Sus scrofa: one gene and its partners. The protein of the gene in region 2 purifies or fractionates together with the protein of the main gene of each other region. This does not show direct contact. Links are inferred from orthologs where the notes say so. Each region holds a gene or a part of one and is shown on either strand. Other genes may lie near its edges.

What was found.
Region 1: the proteins of GSK3B (region 2) and GSKIP purify together in Homo sapiens (affinity purification with mass spectrometry; 10 studies listed by BioGRID and IntAct, with this or other methods). This does not show direct contact. The link is inferred for Sus scrofa from reciprocal best matches to the Homo sapiens genes GSK3B and GSKIP.
Region 3: the proteins of GSK3B (region 2) and AXIN2 purify together in Homo sapiens (affinity purification with mass spectrometry; 9 studies listed by BioGRID and IntAct, with this or other methods). This does not show direct contact. The link is inferred for Sus scrofa from reciprocal best matches to the Homo sapiens genes GSK3B and AXIN2.
Region 4: the proteins of GSK3B (region 2) and PRUNE1 purify together in Homo sapiens (affinity purification with mass spectrometry; 5 studies listed by BioGRID and IntAct, with this or other methods). This does not show direct contact. The link is inferred for Sus scrofa from reciprocal best matches to the Homo sapiens genes GSK3B and PRUNE1.
Region 5: the proteins of GSK3B (region 2) and EPB41L3 purify together in Homo sapiens (affinity purification with mass spectrometry; 4 studies listed by BioGRID and IntAct, with this or other methods). This does not show direct contact. The link is inferred for Sus scrofa from reciprocal best matches to the Homo sapiens genes GSK3B and EPB41L3.

The regions. Positions count from the first base shown.
Region 1 is NC_010449.5:117,585,408-117,589,541, reverse strand, and holds the start of GSKIP (GSK3-beta interaction protein), read right to left. Parts: upstream 2,801-4,134; 5' UTR 2,718-2,800; intron 1-2,717. Other genes in the region: ATG2B (autophagy-related protein 2 homolog B), read left to right, coding at 3,368-3,529. UniProt on the Homo sapiens protein: A-kinase anchoring protein for GSK3B and PKA that regulates or facilitates their kinase activity towards their targets.
Region 2 is NC_010455.5:140,134,707-140,138,909, reverse strand, and holds the start of GSK3B (glycogen synthase kinase-3 beta), read right to left. Parts: upstream 2,802-4,203; 5' UTR 1,709-2,801; coding exon 1,621-1,708; intron 1-1,620. UniProt on the Homo sapiens protein: Constitutively active protein kinase that acts as a negative regulator in the hormonal control of glucose homeostasis, Wnt signaling and regulation of transcription factors and microtubules, by phosphorylating and inactivating glycogen synthase (GYS1 or GYS2), EIF2B, CTNNB1/beta-catenin, APC, AXIN1, DPYSL2/CRMP2, JUN, NFATC1/NFATC, MAPT/TAU and MACF1.
Region 3 is NC_010454.4:12,312,205-12,315,718, reverse strand, and holds part of AXIN2 (axin-2), read left to right. Parts: intron 1-2,897; coding exon 2,898-3,024; 3' UTR 3,025-3,514. UniProt on the Homo sapiens protein: Inhibitor of the Wnt signaling pathway. Down-regulates beta-catenin. Probably facilitate the phosphorylation of beta-catenin and APC by GSK3B.
Region 4 is NC_010446.5:98,196,786-98,199,943, forward strand, and holds part of PRUNE1 (protein prune homolog), read right to left. Parts: intron 3,102-3,158; coding exon 2,943-3,101; intron 1-2,942. UniProt on the Homo sapiens protein: Phosphodiesterase (PDE) that has higher activity toward cAMP than cGMP, as substrate. Plays a role in cell proliferation, migration and differentiation, and acts as a negative regulator of NME1. Plays a role in the regulation of neurogenesis.
Region 5 is NC_010448.4:101,665,210-101,668,723, forward strand, and holds part of EPB41L3 (band 4.1-like protein 3), read left to right. Parts: intron 1-158; coding exon 159-281; intron 282-850; coding exon 851-1,237; intron 1,238-2,038; coding exon 2,039-2,170; intron 2,171-2,660; coding exon 2,661-2,759; intron 2,760-3,194; coding exon 3,195-3,275; intron 3,276-3,514. UniProt on the Homo sapiens protein: Tumor suppressor that inhibits cell proliferation and promotes apoptosis. Modulates the activity of protein arginine N-methyltransferases, including PRMT3 and PRMT5.

The DNA of each region.
Region 1 (4,134 bases), on a different chromosome or scaffold from region 2:
TTAACTAGTTATCAAGATATTGATCACTAATTTCTTTACTCTCTACTTCTTAATTTAGTAGATTTTGTTTTGTTTCATCACCAATTTATAGCATCAAAGAGCTAGCAAAAGACTGTATATTTGTTCTTGAGGACAAGAATGGGTTTAGAAAGACAGTCTTATATACAGGGTGACAAAAGAACAGAGCCCAGAATGATTTCAAGAGTAGTATACAGATGTCAAATTTTCATTTTGGAAGAAAGTTTAATTTGTCAGTTGCTATTGCAACAGTCAGCCGAGGGCTAGAATGCAATTATCTTGCTCATGATTACAGTTGACCCTTGAGCAACACAGGCTTGAACTCTGCAGGTCCACTTACATGCAGATTTTTTTCAACAGCACCTATTACAGAACTACACTGTCCGTGCTGACTGAATCAGCGGATGTGCAACTGTGTATATGGAGGACTGACCATAAGTTATATGCAGATTTTCAAGTTTGGGAGGGTTTGCGTCCCTTATCACAGCGTTGTTCAAGGGTCAACTGTACTTTTATTTGTATCATACCTCACAGTCTGGAGAAATGCTCTCAACATGAGTAAGGGGCCATATGGTGTGGTGCTTAAAGGGTTTTGTGTGTTTTTTGGTCCTTTTGCCTTTTCTAGGGCTGCTCCCACGGCATATGGAGGTTCCCAGGCTGGGGTTCTAATCAGAGCTGTAGCCGCCGGCCTACACCACAGCCACAGCAATGGGGGATCTGAGCGGCATCTGCGACCTACACCACAGCTCACAGCAACGCTGGATCCTTAACCCACTGAGCAAGGTCAGGGATCGAACCCGCAACCTCATGGTTCCTAGTCAGATTCGTTAACCACTGCGCCACGACAGGAACTCAAGTCTTTTCTCAACACAGCAGTTAGCATGATCTGTAAAAACTTCATCAGATTATGTCACTCAGTTCCTCAAACCCATGTAATTCACCAAGTGAAAAGTCAAAGTCTCTATAATGGCCTATAAGGCCTTACATGACACACCCCCACTTCCATCCCACTCCTGCCAATTCCCCCAGCTCTGCTCCTCTTTCCTGACATTCCTTGAACTCACTAAGCATGCTCTTACCACAGGGCCTTGCACTCTGCTGTTCCCCATGCCTGGAAAACTCTTACATGTATTCACATGCCTTGCTCCCCAGCTACCTCTAAGTCTCTGCTAAAATATCACCTTCTCAACCGAGGGAGGACTTCCCTAACCCCTATGAAAAGCTGACAAATCTCTCCCCTTTCCACTCTCTTTACATTGCTTTATTTTTTTTCTACAGCACTTATCACATGGCTTATGATATATTTGATTTTAGTCTGTGTGCCCATAAAACGTAAGCACTCCCTGAGGGCAAGGACTTGATCTGTTCACTGCAGCATCTCCAGCACCTAGAACAATCCCTGGCACATAGCAGGCAACCAATAAACACTTACTGAATAAAGGAATGGGCTTTTCACTATAGAACATAAGATCCCTGAATTTCTCTTCACCTTTTTCACATCACCAATGGTACAGATTTTCATGTAATGGATCCTTAACAAACATTTTTAAATGAATGAAGAGCAAGGAAACCGAAGGTACTGAGAATGCTTGGGCCAAGTCTACAAAGAATGAGAGGTACCAAAATTCGCAGCACTTGTATGACCCTGGAAAGCACAGTGGTTCTAAAATGAAAAGGTGGTTGAAGGAAGGGGATCCAGAGCTTTTTCCATCTGCCAACGTTTCTGGGCTGTGTTAATACTTCTAAGACGTTTGTTATCAACATACAAACGAAATCTCCTTAAACCAGTTGTCCTAATTGACTATTCTTCATTACACGGTATGCATCTGGACTCGTTTACATTCGTTCTCTAGTTAACCGGTTTAGGATTCCTAATAATCTTTGGAGGTAAGATATTACTAACATGCCTACAGTCGACAAAGACTCAGAGAGGGTAGTGGCCAGTTGAAGGTGTCTCGGCTAATAAGTGCCAGGAGCTGGAGTCTAACCCAGGGCACCTGGCTTCCGGGTTATGGAACACCGGCACTCAGGCCTTCTCGGGGTTGACCAAGTGCAAAGCCGGCTCCGCCTCTGCAGGAGTTGCCTCGTAAAAGGCAGAAATCCGACTGCGCAGATTCCCAGAACAGCACAGGTACCTTGCCCAGGTTTCCCCGGGGTCGGAAGGCTTTGGCATCGATCACAGAAAGCAGTTCTGCCCACCAATGCCTCGAAGACTCGAAGTTTCCCGTCGCTGGCGCAGCACACCCAGGATGGATAAAGCGCTTTGGAAACTGCAAAGCCGCTAGCTAGAGAGCAGCGAAAATGAAGCTTTGGAAAACAGTATCTAAATGAGGCGGGCGACGAATAACTTACCGACAATGGGCACCGGTCAATACTGGGGGTAGGGGAATGTTAGGGAGTGTGTGTGTGTGTGTGTGTGTGTGTGTGTGTGTGTGTGTGGAGGGGGTGAGCCAGACGGGCTGCAGCCCTTCAGGTGGAGCTCGCGGCGTCCCGAGCGCCCGTTTCGGGGTCCTGGTCTAAGGTGACAGGGACGGCCGAGGCTGGAGCCGCTCCCAGACCCCTCTTTGCACGGGGGCCTCTTCCGCCCTAGCCCCTCACGGCCCAACCCGCTGCGCCGCGTCCCGCTCAGAAAGCCCTGGGTCCGCCCCCGAACCCCCCTCGGCCTCCCGCCGCCCATCGCCAGCCCCGCGGCTGCTCACCTGTGCTCGCCCCGCGCCTTCCTCTTCTTCCCTCCGGAGGCTTCGGGAACCGACCTGCGGCGCCGCCCCCTCGCTCCCCACTCTCGCCCCGCCCCCTCGGAGCCGGAACTGCTCCCTTCCGGTCTCCTTTCCCCGCCTCTTTCGGACCCCCCCCCCCAGTGTGGCGTCACTTCCGTCTGCGCCCGGCCCAGGACTGGGAATCCAAGTCTCGCGAACGCGCCAGGGGCGTCCCGCAGCCGGGAGCGCGCCCCGCGGATGACAACAAATTCGTCGCGCGGCAGCGGTGGAGGAGTCCGTCTCAGCCCCGGTCGCAGGCGGTGCTGCCGCCTCGTGCGGTGTCTTGCACCCTCTTTCTGTGCCGACCAGGAACCCCTTGGAAGCCCCCAGGCTTGGGGCCGCTGGGACTCCGCACCTTGCCCGCGCCAGGCCTAGCGCGAGCGGCGCGGCGCTGGTGATGGGGTCGCCCTGAGGGACGCCCAGCGCTGAGCGGGCATGGAGGGCCCTCCCCGGGCCTAGGCCCCGCTGCAGCCTGGGCACACTGGCCGGGATCTGAGGCGCCGTCACCGCCGCCGCCGCCGCCTGGAGCGGGAGCCTGGCCCCGAGGCCGGAGCCGCCTGCAGCCCCCGTCAGCCCATCTGCCAGCCCTCATCATGCCTTGGCCGTTTTCAGAGTCCATCAAGAAGAGAGCCTGTAGGTACCTCCTGCAGAGGTACCTGGGCCACTTTCTGCAGGAGAAACTGAGCCTGGAGCAGCTCAGCTTGGACCTGTACCAGGGCACCGGGTCCCTCGCCCAGGTCCCCTTGGACAAATGGGTAAGAGCTGCCGGCGGCCAGCCTGGCGGAACTCACTCTACTCTTAAGGGCGCTTTGACCTAGTGTCATCCAGGATTGGTGACGTTCAGTCCCTCCCTGGGAATTGTTTGGCTCTAAGTGGGGCAGGACCCCAGAGAAATGTGTTCAAATGTTGTTTAATCTGTTTCTAGCAAGTTTGCGCTCCCAAATCACGTGCTCCAGAAACTTAACAGAGGTGATGGAGTCTACACTGTGGGAATCAGTGGTGTCTGGTTTTTTTTTTTGGTGGAGGGGAGGGCCGGGGGAGGTCTGCGGAAGGTGACCAGTGCTTCCCATGGGGATAGGAAGGGTTGCGGGGTGCTGTGCAAACAAACTCTGTTTCGTGGGCTGGGACTGCAGAAAGATTAAGGATGAGGAGGATCTTTGGGGATGTCAGCATGCCTAAATATTTCTTTATTTAGGGTTGATTCCTTGCACACTGCGGCCCCCCGGGCAGCGTTTGCGATGTGGAGGAAAGTTAGGTGAAGCCCTCCTCTGCCGGTTGCCTGCTTTTGCTTGATGATACGTTTATAAGGCCAGTCGGTGAATAGTTGCGTGGCTTTAATAGTGCTGTCTGGTGGTGCCTG
Region 2 (4,203 bases):
CTAACACTCCAGTACCACAATAGGCTCTTAAGTAGCTATTAAAAGATTTGCTTCATCATAGCTGAAAACTACCCCAGAATTTTAAAATATTCCTCTCAAATGACCCCATGAAGTGCTTAGAAAGCTTGACCATTCCCTGAAAGATGCATCATCAGCTTCCCTCTTCACATACCCTGCATTCTCAACTAGCTAGTCACCAAAAAAAAATTTAACTCTCAAAAAAAAAAAAAAAAAAAAATCTACCATTCAGCTATTACCTTGGACTACACTGTCTTAGGCAAGCTCCAAAGGCCAACATGAATCAAATCCTGGGTTCAATTAAGAGTGATTATATTATGCTGTTTAAGGATATAATCAATTTCACATAACAGCATATACTTTAAAAAAAAAAATCTCAGTTCAATTCTCTCCTTCTTCTAGGCAACCAAATAGTTTTTCGTTGTCCTCATCATGCCCCTTTCTTGAGAAATAAGGAAACAGAATAGATATTTTTGTCAAATTCTGAAAGTACGTTTAAATAAACTCTTTAAATTCCACATAAACAGAGATACACAGGAACATCTGACACTTAGTGTACCACTCAACTAGACTTTTCTGCACAAATCTAGCAAGAGGGTCCAGTCTAGTAATAACCCTGAACAGAGCCCAAATTATACCCTATTATATCCAGGACCACAGCATTCTGCAAAACCTATGATGAAAAGGTCTAAATCCATATTCCTCTAACTGGATAGTCTTACCTAAAGAAAACCAATGCAAGAGTATTTTAAACAGTCTTAAGAAGGGACCCCTGAACTTTACATCATTTAGCATGTATGGAATGCAATGGCATCCCCAAAACTGATATATGGAGGGTCAGTGACAGTTAACATTCAACTCAGTATCTGACAACATGACAATACAAATCTCGATCAAAACCAGGACCTACTTCCAAGTTACCTTTTGATTAAATATTAACTCTATAGTGGTAGACTTAAAACAATGCATGTTGAGATACTACTGCTACTGAGTATCAACCTCACGGGTCCCTTCTAAGAGGAGGAATCAATGCTTGCCTGGAAATGTGAAAGTGGTCACTGAGCAAGTTCATCTCTGGATTAAGAACAAATGCGTTGTACAGTCACAAAGGCAAGAAAGAACTGTTAAGAGACTGTGACATTTAGCTCCTCTATTAAGTGTACAAAACTATGATAACCCCTGAGATCTGAGCTAACTATCCCTTGTTCCTAAAGACACACTGCAAAAGCACATAATGGTTTATGAATCTTGTCCTTCGCTTTATTCATGAGAATGAGCCAAGTAAACACTTCCATCACTATTTTAAGATGGAAATAAGTCAACCGCTTGATAAAGCTGGCAAGAAAACTATAAGAAATATTTCAAGTCAAATCATCCAAATAAAAATCATATTCCCTCTATTCAAGGTTAATGAGACCGGGGGAGGGAGTATGGGAGGAGAAAAGAGGGAGCTGCCTCATCCTTGACAGAAGACAGGTTTCTGCCCTTTTCCATTATCTCTGATTGTTATATCAGACATCATATTTTAAGATCCTGGTATTTCAAAGTCTCTTATTTAAAGGGTGAGGTGGAGAAAGAGTGTAAAATAAAATCAATACTCACTGCTAACTTTCATGCTGCCAAAAGCTGAAGGCTGCTGCACTGGCTTGCAGCTCTCCGCAAAGGAGGTGGTTCTGGGCCGCCCTGACATGATCACTGTCTTCCCGAATCACCTTCTTTTCCTTCCTTCCTCCTCTTCTTCCTTTTGTTTTATGTTGGGGTGTTAGGTTAATGATAAACGCAGCATTAAGTTCTCCCACAGGAAAAAAAAAAAGACTTCGTCCTCTTGGCTCTTCACTCCTTTTGTATAGCGACAAAAAAATGCGAGCGATGTATTTCTCCTTGAAGACAGATCAGTACGGATATTTAACATATAGATGATCTGGGACTGGGGAAAAAAAAAATACAATTCTCTCCCCTCCCTTTCCTTGGAGGGTAGAAATGGGTGGGAGGTCCTAAAAAATATGTATCACGTGAAACGGGGGCAAATACTTGATTGAAAATAAGTACTTTGAATATTATATTTTCCTCAGGGATTTTTTTTCCGAGTCAATGAAGAAGGGAAGCGGCGGAAGGATCACGAGTCTCACGCTTGAAAAGAAGGGGGGATGGGAAGGAGGGAGGGAGCGGGAGGGGGTGGCTCGGAGATGCGACGGGAAACGCTGCGGCTCCGGCAGCGGCGGGATCCGGCGGGCTGACGGCTGGGGCCCGGCGAACTGGAAGGCGGCGGAGTCGCGAGTCAGTCAGAGGCGGGCGGTGGCGGCGGCTCCTCTCCTCATTGCGCCAGGAGCAGCTGCAGGCGGCGGCTGGATCCAGCGGCCATGGCGGCGGCGGTGGCGGAGGCAGCTCCCTTCAGACCCCAGGCAGCGGCTCCTCGACTGCTCCCCATACGCCGGGGACATGGGAACCCGGCAACCGCTTCCGTCCCTCGGGGCCCCCTCCCCCGTCCACGGCACCGGCGCGACCGCCCTCCCTCCCGCCCCTCGCCTCTGCTCGGTCTCGCTCAGGAAGTGTCCGCGCTTTGCCCCCAGCCCGAAGCCCTGTCAGTGGCTGCGGGGCCGGCTCCTCCTCGCTTCCTTCCTTCCTTTGTCACTCGGGCCCGGGCGGCGGCGGCGGCGGCGGCGGCGGCGGCGGCAGCGGCGGCGGCAGCAGCAGCGAAAGCCCGCATTCGCCCGGGTCGGGGGCTGTTCTGTGTGAGGAGTGCCGTCTGCGCAGCCGCCTAGCTCTTCCCCAACCCCTCCCCCCTCCTACTCGTCCTCCGCCTCCTTCCTCCCCCACCCAGCCTTACACCGCCCAGCGCCCCTCCGCCCGCGTAACAGGCGTCTGAGAATTGCCGGCCGAGCCCGGCGCCCGCCCCCTTCGGCAGGGGAGCCGAAGCCCGAGCGGAGCCAATCACGGACGTCGTTTGTTTGCGGCTCCTCCCGGAAAAAGCCGATCGGCCAGAGGAGCCAATTAGAAAGTACCACTGGAAATCACGCCCAAGGGCGGAAAGTGCCGAAGATAGCCGACCGAGAAGAAGATGGGTTGGAGTGATACTGTGGCTGGCTGGAGGAGAAATTCGACAATGGCAGCAGCGGCCAATCAGAGTCGCCGGCTCTCACGAAAAAGCTTGAAGAGTTAAGAACTGTGAAGCCGGGAGTTGCTGGTGAAACCGCAAGGCTGGGAGCTGCAACCGCTTTGTAATTGGCCAAAACTCCGCTGGGAGTGTACCTCCCTTGGTGATTGGTGAAGAGAATGGGGCTTCCGAGGACAGTCTGACCAGTCAGGACGTCTCCTCCCTGGCCAAGGTGGGGAGAAGTAGAAAGCGAAGGGAGGGCTCTATAAAGCGCCTTCTCATTGGTCTCAAGCTTTGGAGCTGGAGTGGGGGCAAAAGGGAAAAGGAGGGAGACCGAAAGCGGTAGCAGTAGCCAATCGGCACTCACTGCCCTCCAATCGCGAGACCTAGCTGCAGTGTGATTGGCCTTCGGCCTCGGCGGCGGTCCCGGCAGCCGGGAGAAGCGCGTCTGGGGTTGTGGTGGATGGTCAGACAGGCTTGCCTGTGGCTACTCGCAGCCTGTGTGAAAACCGCAGATAGCGCGAGCCCTTCGCCCGCCAGTGGGAAACTGCTGCAGTCAGCCGGTCGGGGCTCGGAGCGCTCAAGCGAACTGAGGGTTTAAGGGCTCTCTCCCCCTCCCGACTACAGGCTCCCGGCGGGGCGGGGCTCATGTGCGCACAAGGTTTCCCTCCGCTGGGGAGAGCGCGTCTCCAGTGCCAGCTACTTCCCCGAAAGGCCCGGACGGATTCAGTGTGCTTCCAGGCAGGGGTGCGAGTTCTCAAACGCTAAATTGAGAACAAAGCTTCCACCTCTGCGCGGCCGCGCCCCGCCCAAACGCGAAGGCCAGTGATAGGAGTGAGGCCGACAGCCCCGCGCGCGGGCGCGCCCAGGCCCGACCTTCCAGAAACGCCCCTGAGAAATGAGCTCATGGTGGCTGCGCGCGCTCCTCGGGCGCGACTGCCCTCAGCGAAATGGGCCCGAGAGCAGGTGAGGGGAAGTGCAGTCAGGCCGGATATCCTGAAGTCCCTGAGGAAACGGGGAGTCAGAATAGCCCTCCACAGTTTGGGTTCTTTGGAAGTAGGGTGATCTATAAACTAAGCGGTCTTCACACG
Region 3 (3,514 bases), on a different chromosome or scaffold from region 2:
CACCAGGATTGTTCTTTGTCCAGAACAGAGAAAAGGCAGGACCTGTGGGCAGGCATCACTCTTCCTGCTGGGCCTCCGTGCCTCTGCTCCCTGCCGGGGTCTTGAGGAGGGAGCCCCCCTTTCCCCATCTATGCGGTACATGTGCCCACCCTGGCCTTCCAGGGCCCTGCAGGGGGTTAAAGAGCCCAGTGAGGGCCAGGGGCATTTCTTGGTCACTTTGCCCTCAATGCGGGACAGGTGACACCTGCACCTTAGCGCATCCCGAGTCCTGCTTGCCCCTTCTTGGTGGGCTTTATCCCAGGGGAACACATGGATTTGGCTCCAGCTACATCTGCACTGAGCAGGGCCGGGACTAGGAGGGTAAGGGGGACACCTGGGCACACAGGTAAAAGAGGAGCCCAGGAGGTGCCATTCTGCTGCCATCTCAAGCCAGGGAGGAGAGTGGAGAACTGTCACAGCACTTAGCCACCTGCCAGGTGAGCAGGGCTCTGGAGTCCACCTCCAGGGCCCTGAGACCCCGACCCTTCTGGAGCAGGCCCTGCCCAACTTCGCCAGCCACCTCCACCTGGGCGCTGATTTGGGACCCCGAGTGCCACCCTTTGTAGGGGAAGGGATGGGGCTCAGGGCTGGGACCCTGCTGGTGACTGACAGCTGACAGCAGGGTATGGAGCTGGGCTTAGATCTCTGCCTTTTACACATGGGTGAGAGAGTTCTGGAAATGAACCAGGGGGATTGGGGAACGGGCCTGGCTGCTGTTAAGTTTTTTTGTATCTTGCACAGACACAAGGTGAAACTAATTACACAAGCGTGCCCCTCCAGGGGTTCATTTTGATCTGAGCTTTGACTCGGCTGGACTTTGAGTGGAACTGCAGGTGACCTTCAGGGGAGAAGGGCCGGGGAGTGCTGAGCAGAGAGGCTGCTGGGGAGGCGCTCAGTCACTCCGGCCACATCTGGCTCTGATTTTTTTTTTTTTTTTTTTTGCTAAGGCACACTTAATAAGCCTGGCTTTGAAGCCCCGGCCTCCCCTTTAATGCACAAAGACTTGCACAAATGGTTGACTCGCAAATTCTTTACTGATTGGATCAGGCTGTGGCGAGGTCCTTCCCAGCTGCCTTATCTGTCTACACTTGCTCTCTGGGCCGGAGCTGCCCTCCTGGGTCGAGGGGGCGCTGGGTGCGCTGCTGCGTCCCCCCAGCAGGGGTGGTGCTTCAGCACGCCCTTTGCACCCCCTTACTCCCCCATCCGAAGCCCGGTGAGGATGGGTCTGGGGAGTGGGGGACCTGGGCTGTGTCGAGGAGTCGCAGCATGGCAGAGGTTCAAAAGGAGAACAGTCCCTCCCGACGTGCCAGACGCTCTTGGTGCCAGATGTCGGAAGAAAGCAAAGTTCGCCACAGAAAGCCTGTTGCAGTGGGAGAGCCCACTGCTTGGAGAGGACGAGGGCAGCGCAGTGCCTTTGAAGGCTCGGGGGGCCGCCCAGGGCAACGTGGCCTCTCCCCTCTCTGGAAGAGGCTGCCGTTATGTAAAAGCATCCGAGCATCGCGTGTCTGCTCGGAAAGCCCGGGAGAGCCCGACGCCCTGAACCTGACTGATGGCTGGGCCAGGCCGGGCCGGGAGGGCGTCGGGATTGGGAAGGTGACGTTCCCTGCCTGCAGCCCGCGGTCTGCCCAGCCCCATCGCCGCCCCATTTGCTCGCCATCTCCTGAACCCCCCCAGAGAGTCTGAGCTCCTGGCTCTGAAGCGGCTTCACCACTGACCCACCAGAGCCGGGCTGCCCACCGCGATGCGCTGGCTCAGCTGGGAATGCCAGGAACCAAGACCCTTGACTCCATCCAGCTGTTTCACTTTATTTAGCCTTATCGCCTATGAAAGTATTTGGCTCGCCTTCATTAAAGAGGAAAGAAATTGAGCTCTAACCAAGGGGAATTTGAAAGAAAAAAATATTTTTCAGGACAGAAACCAAAAAACAACCATAACCCTGAGACACCGTCTCTTTTTCTGTGTTTTTTTTTTTTTGGAGGAGCTGTTCCCCCCCCACAGGGGAGGAGCTGTGACCCGCCCTCCATGAGTGGCCTTTCTTCACGGAAGGTGTCAGCTGGCAGGGCCGACACCTGAAGAAGGGTCTCCCTGGCTGGGGATGGCGAAGGAAGAGGCTTGGGTGGGCCTGGGCCTGCAGGATGGCACTTGTTGTCGAATGTGACGCTGGTCATTTACGTCCGTGCAGTTAAACAGGCTGGGGTGGGACGAAAGGAACCTTTTATCAACAGGCAGGAGGGCCTTTGGTGTGTCACCCTGGAGGAGGGGCGGAAACAGGGAGAAGAGGGGACAGTGGTGTGGGGACGAGGCTGTCGGCCGCCCTGGGAAGCAGCACTGGCCTGGCCTGCCTCCCGCAGCGGCCACAGAGGAAGCAGCCCGTCCCGCCTGTCCCCTGGCCATGCCCGTCTCCGAGACCGGCCGGAAGGGATTCCCTCCCCAGACTTCTGTAGGATCAGAGTGGCTGACTCCGGGGGTGGCTTGGCGGGGTCGCCCCCCCCGGGGGGGGGGGCGCTGCTGCAGGTGACCTCGAGGCATGCCCCTGCCTCCATCCCCCACAAAGGGGGAGAAGGAAGGAAACTCTGCTCCACAAAGTGTACTTTTCACCAAGTGTGTGGGGGCGGGGGGACAGCAGCCGTTCTGGGCTGGAGGTCCTGGGTTCTCAGGTGGCGGGGGGGCACCCAGCCCACCACCTCCAGGGTGCCTTCCCTTGCACCAGCCCGCTGGCTATCTCAAAGCAGATGTGGGCAGAGGTTTCCCTGCCACCTGTTGTACCAGCCCTCTTCAGATACCTTAGTCCTCCGGGGTTGACAGACTCAGTAGAAAATGCAGCTTAACCAAGACGTGTGTTGGGTCTTCCTTTGAAGGTATTACTTCAAAACAGCGAGCGACGAGTTCGCCTGTGGAGCGGTTTTCGAGGAGATCTGGGACGATGAGATGGTGCTGCCTATGTATGAAGGCAGGATTCTGGGCAAGGTGGAGAGAATCGATTGAGCCTCGGGCGGCCCGCGGGGCCCAAGCCCTCACGACCGGCCTTGGACGTGAGCGCCCGCAACCCAGCCCTTTGAAGGAAGACTCAACCAGTGAAGACGTCGAAGTCTGGGGGAAGACTCTTGGCCACGGGGCCTTCGGGAGGGTGGGGGGAGGTTGGCTTTCATTATTCCCCAGCTGGGTACGGAGATAAGAAAAGCCTGAACTATTTATTAAAAACATGACCACTCGTGGCTGTTGAAGATGCTGACTGTATTTGAGAGACTGCCATACATAATATATGACTTCCTAGGGATCTGAAATCCATAAACTAAGAGAAACTGTGTATAGCTTCCCTGAACAGGAATCCTTACTGATATTTATTGAATAACTGAGTCTCCCCCCACCCCAATCCCCAGTTTATGGATATGCTGCTTTAAACACGGAAGGGGGGAGACAGGATGTTTGTAATTGTTCTAAGCTTTGGAGTTGAGCTAGGAGTGCATTAATGATT
Region 4 (3,158 bases), on a different chromosome or scaffold from region 2:
TTGCTGTGGCTATGGTGTAGGTCAGCGGCTTCAGCTCCAATTTGACTCCTATCCTGGGAACTTCCACATGCCACAGGTATGGTGGTAAAAAAACAAACAAACAAAAAACCCCCCCAAATCTTGAACTCTATCCTTAGCTGAGCTGGGACAAGCATCTATATACTGAGGTCAGGGGAAGGAGAGAAGCCGAAAGAATGAGCAGATCAAAGTGGGAATGGGAAGTTGCTAGGCATTGTCTGGCCATTTTCAAATATTATCTGGTTTGGGGAGTTCCCTGGTGGCCTAACAGTTAAGGATTCAGCATTGCCACTGCTATGACTCAGGTCCGAATTCTGGCCCAGGAACTTCCACATGCCATGGGGGAAGCAAGAAAAAAAAATTATCTTCTGTAACCCTCAAAACTACCTTACAGGTGGAGTTCCCTGGTGGCTGAGTGGGTTAAGGACCTTGTTGTCACTGCTGTGACTCTGGTTACAGACATGATATGGGTTTGATGCCTGGCCTGGGAACCTCTGCATGCTGTGAATGTGGCCAAAAAAATAAGTAAAATAAAAACTGGAGTTCTCTCTCTTTTTTGGCTTTTTTTTTTTTTTTAAGGGCTGCTTATGCGGCATACAGAAGTTCCCAGGCTAGGGGCCAAATCAGAGCTGCAACTGCTGGCCTATGCCACAGCCACAGCAATGCAGGATCCAAGCTGTGTCTGAGACCTACACCACAGCTCATGGCAATGCTGGATTCTTAACTCAGTAATCGAGGCCAGGATTGAACCTACATCCTCATGGATACTAGCCAGGTTCGTTACCACTGAGCCACAATGGGAACTCCAAAACTGGAGTTCTCTTGTGGTGCAGTGGGTTAAGGATCTGGCATTGTCACTACAGCACGTGGTTCACTGCTGTGGTGTGGGGTGGATCACTAGCCAGGGAATTTCCCAGGTTGAGGCAAAAAAAAAACACACCCAAAAAAACAAACCCAACAAACAAACAAAAAACCACGACCTTACAGGTTGATATTACTATTATCCTCATTTACAGGTAGGGAAACTGAGGCTTAGACAGATTAGTAACTTGCTAACGGTCAAGTTTGTATACATAAATTTTTTCGTCTTTTAAGGGCTGTACCCACGGCATATGGAGGCTCCCAGGATAGGGGTTGAATCTGAGCGATAGCTGCTGGCTTACGCCACAGCTCACGGCAACTCCAGATCCTTAACCCAATGTGCAAGGCCAGGGATCAAACATGCGTCGTCACGGATGCCAGTCAGATTTGTTTCTGCTGAGCCACGACGGGAACTCCAGAAGGTCAAGTTTGAATGAAGCAAGGCTAATACTTGAACTCAGGTCTGCTACTAAACCTGGTGTTCCAAATTATACTATTCCTGACAAAAGAGTAAGAGAGGAAATGGCAGGCAGACTGTGAAAAGAGGACTTCTATTTCCCAGCACAGTGGCAGCCTGGGCAATGGTAGAGTCATCAGATACCTGCAGGCTTTCAGAGGGACTGTGGTGGGGAGATTTGGGAAGGCAGGGAGAAGTACTTCTTACAGCCAAAGCAACCTTTCCTTCATGACACGATGAGTAAGAGTACACTGTGCTCAGTACTACACTTTACATGTGACATTATGTTTGATGATCACATCAGACTAATTAGGAGGTGGTAACATGCCACCTACAGACTCAGAAGTCAACTGACTTGCCTTCGGTCAAAGAGCAGGTAAGTGGCAAATCTGGCACAGAAAAGCATATCTATATACCTTTAAAAACTGTAGTTTTGGAATTCCGTGGTGGCTCAGTGGGTTAAGGATCCAGCATTGTCACTGCTGTGGCTCAGGTTCCATCTCTGGCTCAAGAACTTCCACATACCACCAGTGTGGCCAAAAAAATCAACCCCCGCCCCCCCAAAAATTCTGTGGTTCTTTCTACAATGTCAACCTACCTTCCACTGAATGAAATAACATTTTGCTTCCTGGAGGAGAAGAGAAAGGCAAAGAGAGGTGGGAAAGGGTGGACATACCTTTTATGAACAAAAAAGATTATCTGGCTATAGTCAGACCAGTCTTTAGCAGTCCTCACTGCTAAGAAACCCAAAGAATCCCTGGACTGCCTTAAGTCCACTCATTTTTTATTTTACTTTTTTTAGGGCCGAACTGACAGCATATGGAGGTTCCTAGGCTAGGAGTCAAATTAGAGCTGTAGCTGCCGGCCTACACCACAGCCACAGCAATGAGGGATCCAAGCAGCACGTGCGACCTATACCACAGCTCAGGGAAACAATGGATCCTTAACCCACTAAGTGGGGCCAGGGATCAAACCTGCATTGTCATAGATACTATTCAGGTTTGTTACTGCTGAGCGACAGTGGGAATTCCAAGAATCAAGTTTTTTAACTCCAGATTTACAAAATGACCTTTTAACCCAATTTCAATTCCTTCTAAGTAGGGATTATGTCTCTAACTCTCTTTGGAAATTTTTTTTTTTTTTTTTTTTTTGCTTTTTAGGGCCACACCTGCAACATATGGAAGTTCCCAGGCTAGAGGTGGTATCAGAACTACAGCTGCTGGCCTACGCCACAGCCACAGCAATGCCAGATCCGAGCCACATCCGTTTCCACGACAGCTCACGGCAATACCGGATCCTTAACTCACTGAGTGAGGCCAGGGACTGAACCCCCATCATCATGGATACTATTCAGGTTCATAATCTGCTGAGCCACAATGGGAACTTCCCTCTAATTCTCTTTGGAATCTCCCTTTCTCAACAACAGTATAATTAAAAAATATTCACATATATAGAGAATGGAAAAAAGTGGGGAGAGGAGGTTCTGGAAATGGAGTAAGAGACCTCTATAAATATAAGAACCAAGGAGACGCCTTTATAGCACGGGGCAGTGCATACAGGCAAAGCTTTATAGGGCCCTCCGGCTGCAGAACGGAGAGAGACTCACCATCACTCGGAGTGCTGTGTGGGGACAGAAGACAGCCAACTGTCGCACTGGCTCATTGTGAGTGTTGAAAAAGATAGTCATGGCGACCAGGGCATCATAGCTGTGAGCCTGGCAGAAGGCATGGAGATCTGCAATGAGGCCAGACCTCTGCAGAAAGGCCTAAAAGAGAAGAAATGGACAGGGATGAGGGCTGCAGCTGGACCTTCCTGATCACCC
Region 5 (3,514 bases), on a different chromosome or scaffold from region 2:
TTTCATTTCCGTTCTTTTCCGTTTCCGAGTCTTACGTGGATTCTGCCTTCCCTCACCCTGGGTCATGCGCCCCCGTTATGTCTAACCAGCTGTGAATGTTTATGTACCTCTTGTGTCCCCATGTCTGTGCTTGACTCTCCATTTCTTTGTTCACTCAGACTAAACAGTCTTCTGGTGAAAAGCTCATGGATGGCTCTGAAATCTTCAGTTTATTAGAGTCTGCGAGGAAACCGACAGAATTCATAGGAGGGGTTACTTCCACTTCTCAAAGCTGGGTGCAGGTGGCCATTCCTTTCCATCCTTGGTGTCTCTGCCTCTGCCTCTCTGCCTTTTTTTTAAATGCCTTTTTGGTGTGTTTGTGTGTGTGTTTTGTATCCAAGTGGCTTTGCCTTAAACACCCAAGGGTCTTCACTTACCCGGCTTTGTGCTGGCCCACAGATCCATTATGTCTTTAGTTCTCTTGTAAGAAATAGTGAGAAATTTCAATAGCTTTCAATGTTTTAAAGCATTTTGTGTTACCTATTAGGTCTAAGGAAGCAGCCCAAACCAATGTGCATGTGCTACAATGCTTTCACTTTGTTTTGGTTTTTAATTGCATCTTATACCACATTCTGTTTCTTTGGCGACATCCCAAAGAAGCAGCTCGGGTTCAAGCGGTGAAGGGGGGGCAGCGGGCAGGCACCAAAGATTATGGTGCGGGGAGTGAAAGCTAATTTCTGTTTTCTATAAGTGTTGCTGGTTATAAGCTTGAGGCAATTTGGTGAGTGACTTCTTTTGTGGGTGTTTTGTTTTATCTTTGGGCTTTGCTTTGTGGACAATCACGTTGATACCACCCTTTTTTACTATACAGAAAACAGAAACCAAGACGGAGTCCAGTGAAACAGAGACAGAAACGACCCAGCGCCCCCAGCCACTCAGCACTGAGACGGTGGTGCAGGAAACGGTGTTGGTGGAGGAAAGACATGTGATGAGCGTGCATGCAAGTGGAGATGCTTCTTCCACTGCGGGAGATGGTGTGGATGCTGCAGCACAGGCTGCCTCTGCCGAAGCTTCTGGCGTGAAAGGGAAGGAAGGCTCTGCTCTGACCGAGGGGGCGAAAGAGGACAAGGGGGAGGTGGCCGACAGAGCTGTCCTGGAGCAGGAAGTGATGGCCACTGCTTCCCAGGAGCCAGAGGAGGAGCGGCTGAGTGCTGCCATCCACGTGTCTGAAACTCTGGAACAAAAACCTCATTTTGAGGTAACTAGCAGTTAATGTTACTTTTCATGTGGAAGGAAGTCCCTGGAGGGTAGTTAAGGACGAAGGTGGGGCTCAGTTTAATTTTCCACCTTTTCCAAGAGCAGCATGGGCCTCGTCTTGGCTTCTTGCATGGCAGTTATGGGCATCTGTGCTGGTTTCCATCGCTGGGGCCCCTTGCAAACACATAGAATGATGATTCTTAATAACCTGTAGTTCCAGGAAATGGTCTCTACTCTCATTGTAATTAGTCATTGGCAGTAAATCTGGGAAATGTATGCTCGGCCAAGACATTAGGAAATTTAATAAATTTATTTCTGATCAGTTTACTTATCCAGAAGGACCAACACCTGGCTTGCCCCAGCACCAAATGCTAGGATTTATCTTTGGTCTCTGTTATTGAGATTCCTGAAGTCTCTGAGTGGGGCAGTGGTTCAGTGTCATATTACTTGTTCCTTCTCTCTAAGAAGTTATGAAATAAAAGCCTCATTTAGGACTTTCCATCCATTAAAATTAGTTCATGAGCTAGAGGAGAGGGAAGGTGAAAATGTGGGTTTTGGTCAGTTTCCTTCAAAACCATTTCCTTTACCTGGAACCTTCCACGTGAAGAATGTTGTGGAGACTGACACGTATCTGTCGTGTGCTTCATTCCCCAACTTACCCCCCCATGTTATGTGTGAACATTTATTTCATACTAACCTGTGCTGACATAATATCCACCAAGAGGGGAGAGAAGAAACAAAACAAAAAGCATGTGTTGGTGCAAACTGTAACAGCCACTCTGCCTGCTTCCCGTTGGTATAGTCATCAACTGTGAAGACAGAAACCATCAGCTTTGGCAGTGTTTCACCAGGAGGAATAAAGCTAGAAATTTCTACCAAGGAGGTGCCTGTAGTTCACACAGAAACAAAAACCATAACATATGAATCATCACAGGTAAGACTGTGAAATCTACGAAGGCCAGGGCCCTGGCCCTTGTTTCCCCGCTTGAATGCACTTCAGTGTAACTGTATGACATTGAATTTGTGAGCCTCAGAGGACTCAGCAACCAGACTGTCTCTCTCAAGAGCAAGGCCATAATTGTAATTCTTTTACCAATCCAGGAAGAGCAGGTGACTTAGGCAGGTCATCTTGTATCTCAAAATGGAGCAAGAAGCTCAGAAACCTATTACCTGAGCTGTAGATAAGGCAAAACACTAGCTCAGGCGGCCTCTGCGCACATTTCTGAAGCCCCAATTTTTTAATGATGGTTAACAGTGGCCGTCTTTGGTTCGTTCCCACTCAGAGGGGCAGCTCCCAGGCTGGTGGAGCCACACAGAGAGGGCAGATGATTAAATCACCATTCTCATGCCCTGAACCCCGTGCATCGGATGTCCGAAGAGGTAACATAAACATTCAAGTGTGGCATCTCCTCCCTCCCGCTTAGGTTGATCTTGGCGCTGATTTGGAGCCGGGGGTGCTAATGAGTGCCCAGACGATCACATCTGAAACCACCAGCACCACCACCACCACCCACATCACCAGAGTAAGTGAGTGGGAACCTATAAAGGCCGGTAGCCATTCAGAACTTCCGGGTTGGGCTGCACAAGCAGATCCTCATGTGACTCTGGGATGCCGGGCAGCTGCCCTGGAGCTTTCACGGCTGCTATCTTTGTGGGGCATTTGTGCTCCCGTTACCGTGCTGGTGAGGACTGTGCATCCAGATAACCCTCTGCTTTATACGTACTCCAGGGCTTACATAGGACATAGGGCGGCTGTTCCAGAGGCCCTGGCCAGCCAAACCCAGAGGACCCTATTCTGTCCTTCCTTCTGAAATTAGCAATTGTGACTAACTGCTGTAGGGTTCCGTTTGGATTCCGAAAGAAGGAGTGAGGTTACTTGAAGCTGTGCTAGCGTTTTCTGCCATTTCCCCCCAGTCAACAGTGAGGGTAATGTCATAACGCTTGATTATTCCTTTCAGACTGTGAAAGGAGGCATTTCAGAGACGAGAATCGAGAAGCGAATCGTTATCACAGGAGATGCAGACATTGACCACGACCAGGTAGTGTGTTAAAGACGGTAGATGCCCCGGCAGAGAGACAGAAACATTGGTGGGTCCTGCTTTTCCCCGAGCGGTCCCTCTAGTCCAGCCTGTAGCCTCAACAGTTTTCTGAGTTAAGTTTCTGATACGCAACGTGTAATTCCTTTTGCAATCATTGTGCCCCATTTGTAGACTGTGTTTATAGATCTAGCGCCTAAGTCTCTGCCTTGCTCTGATCATGCATGTTCCACCTCCTTTTT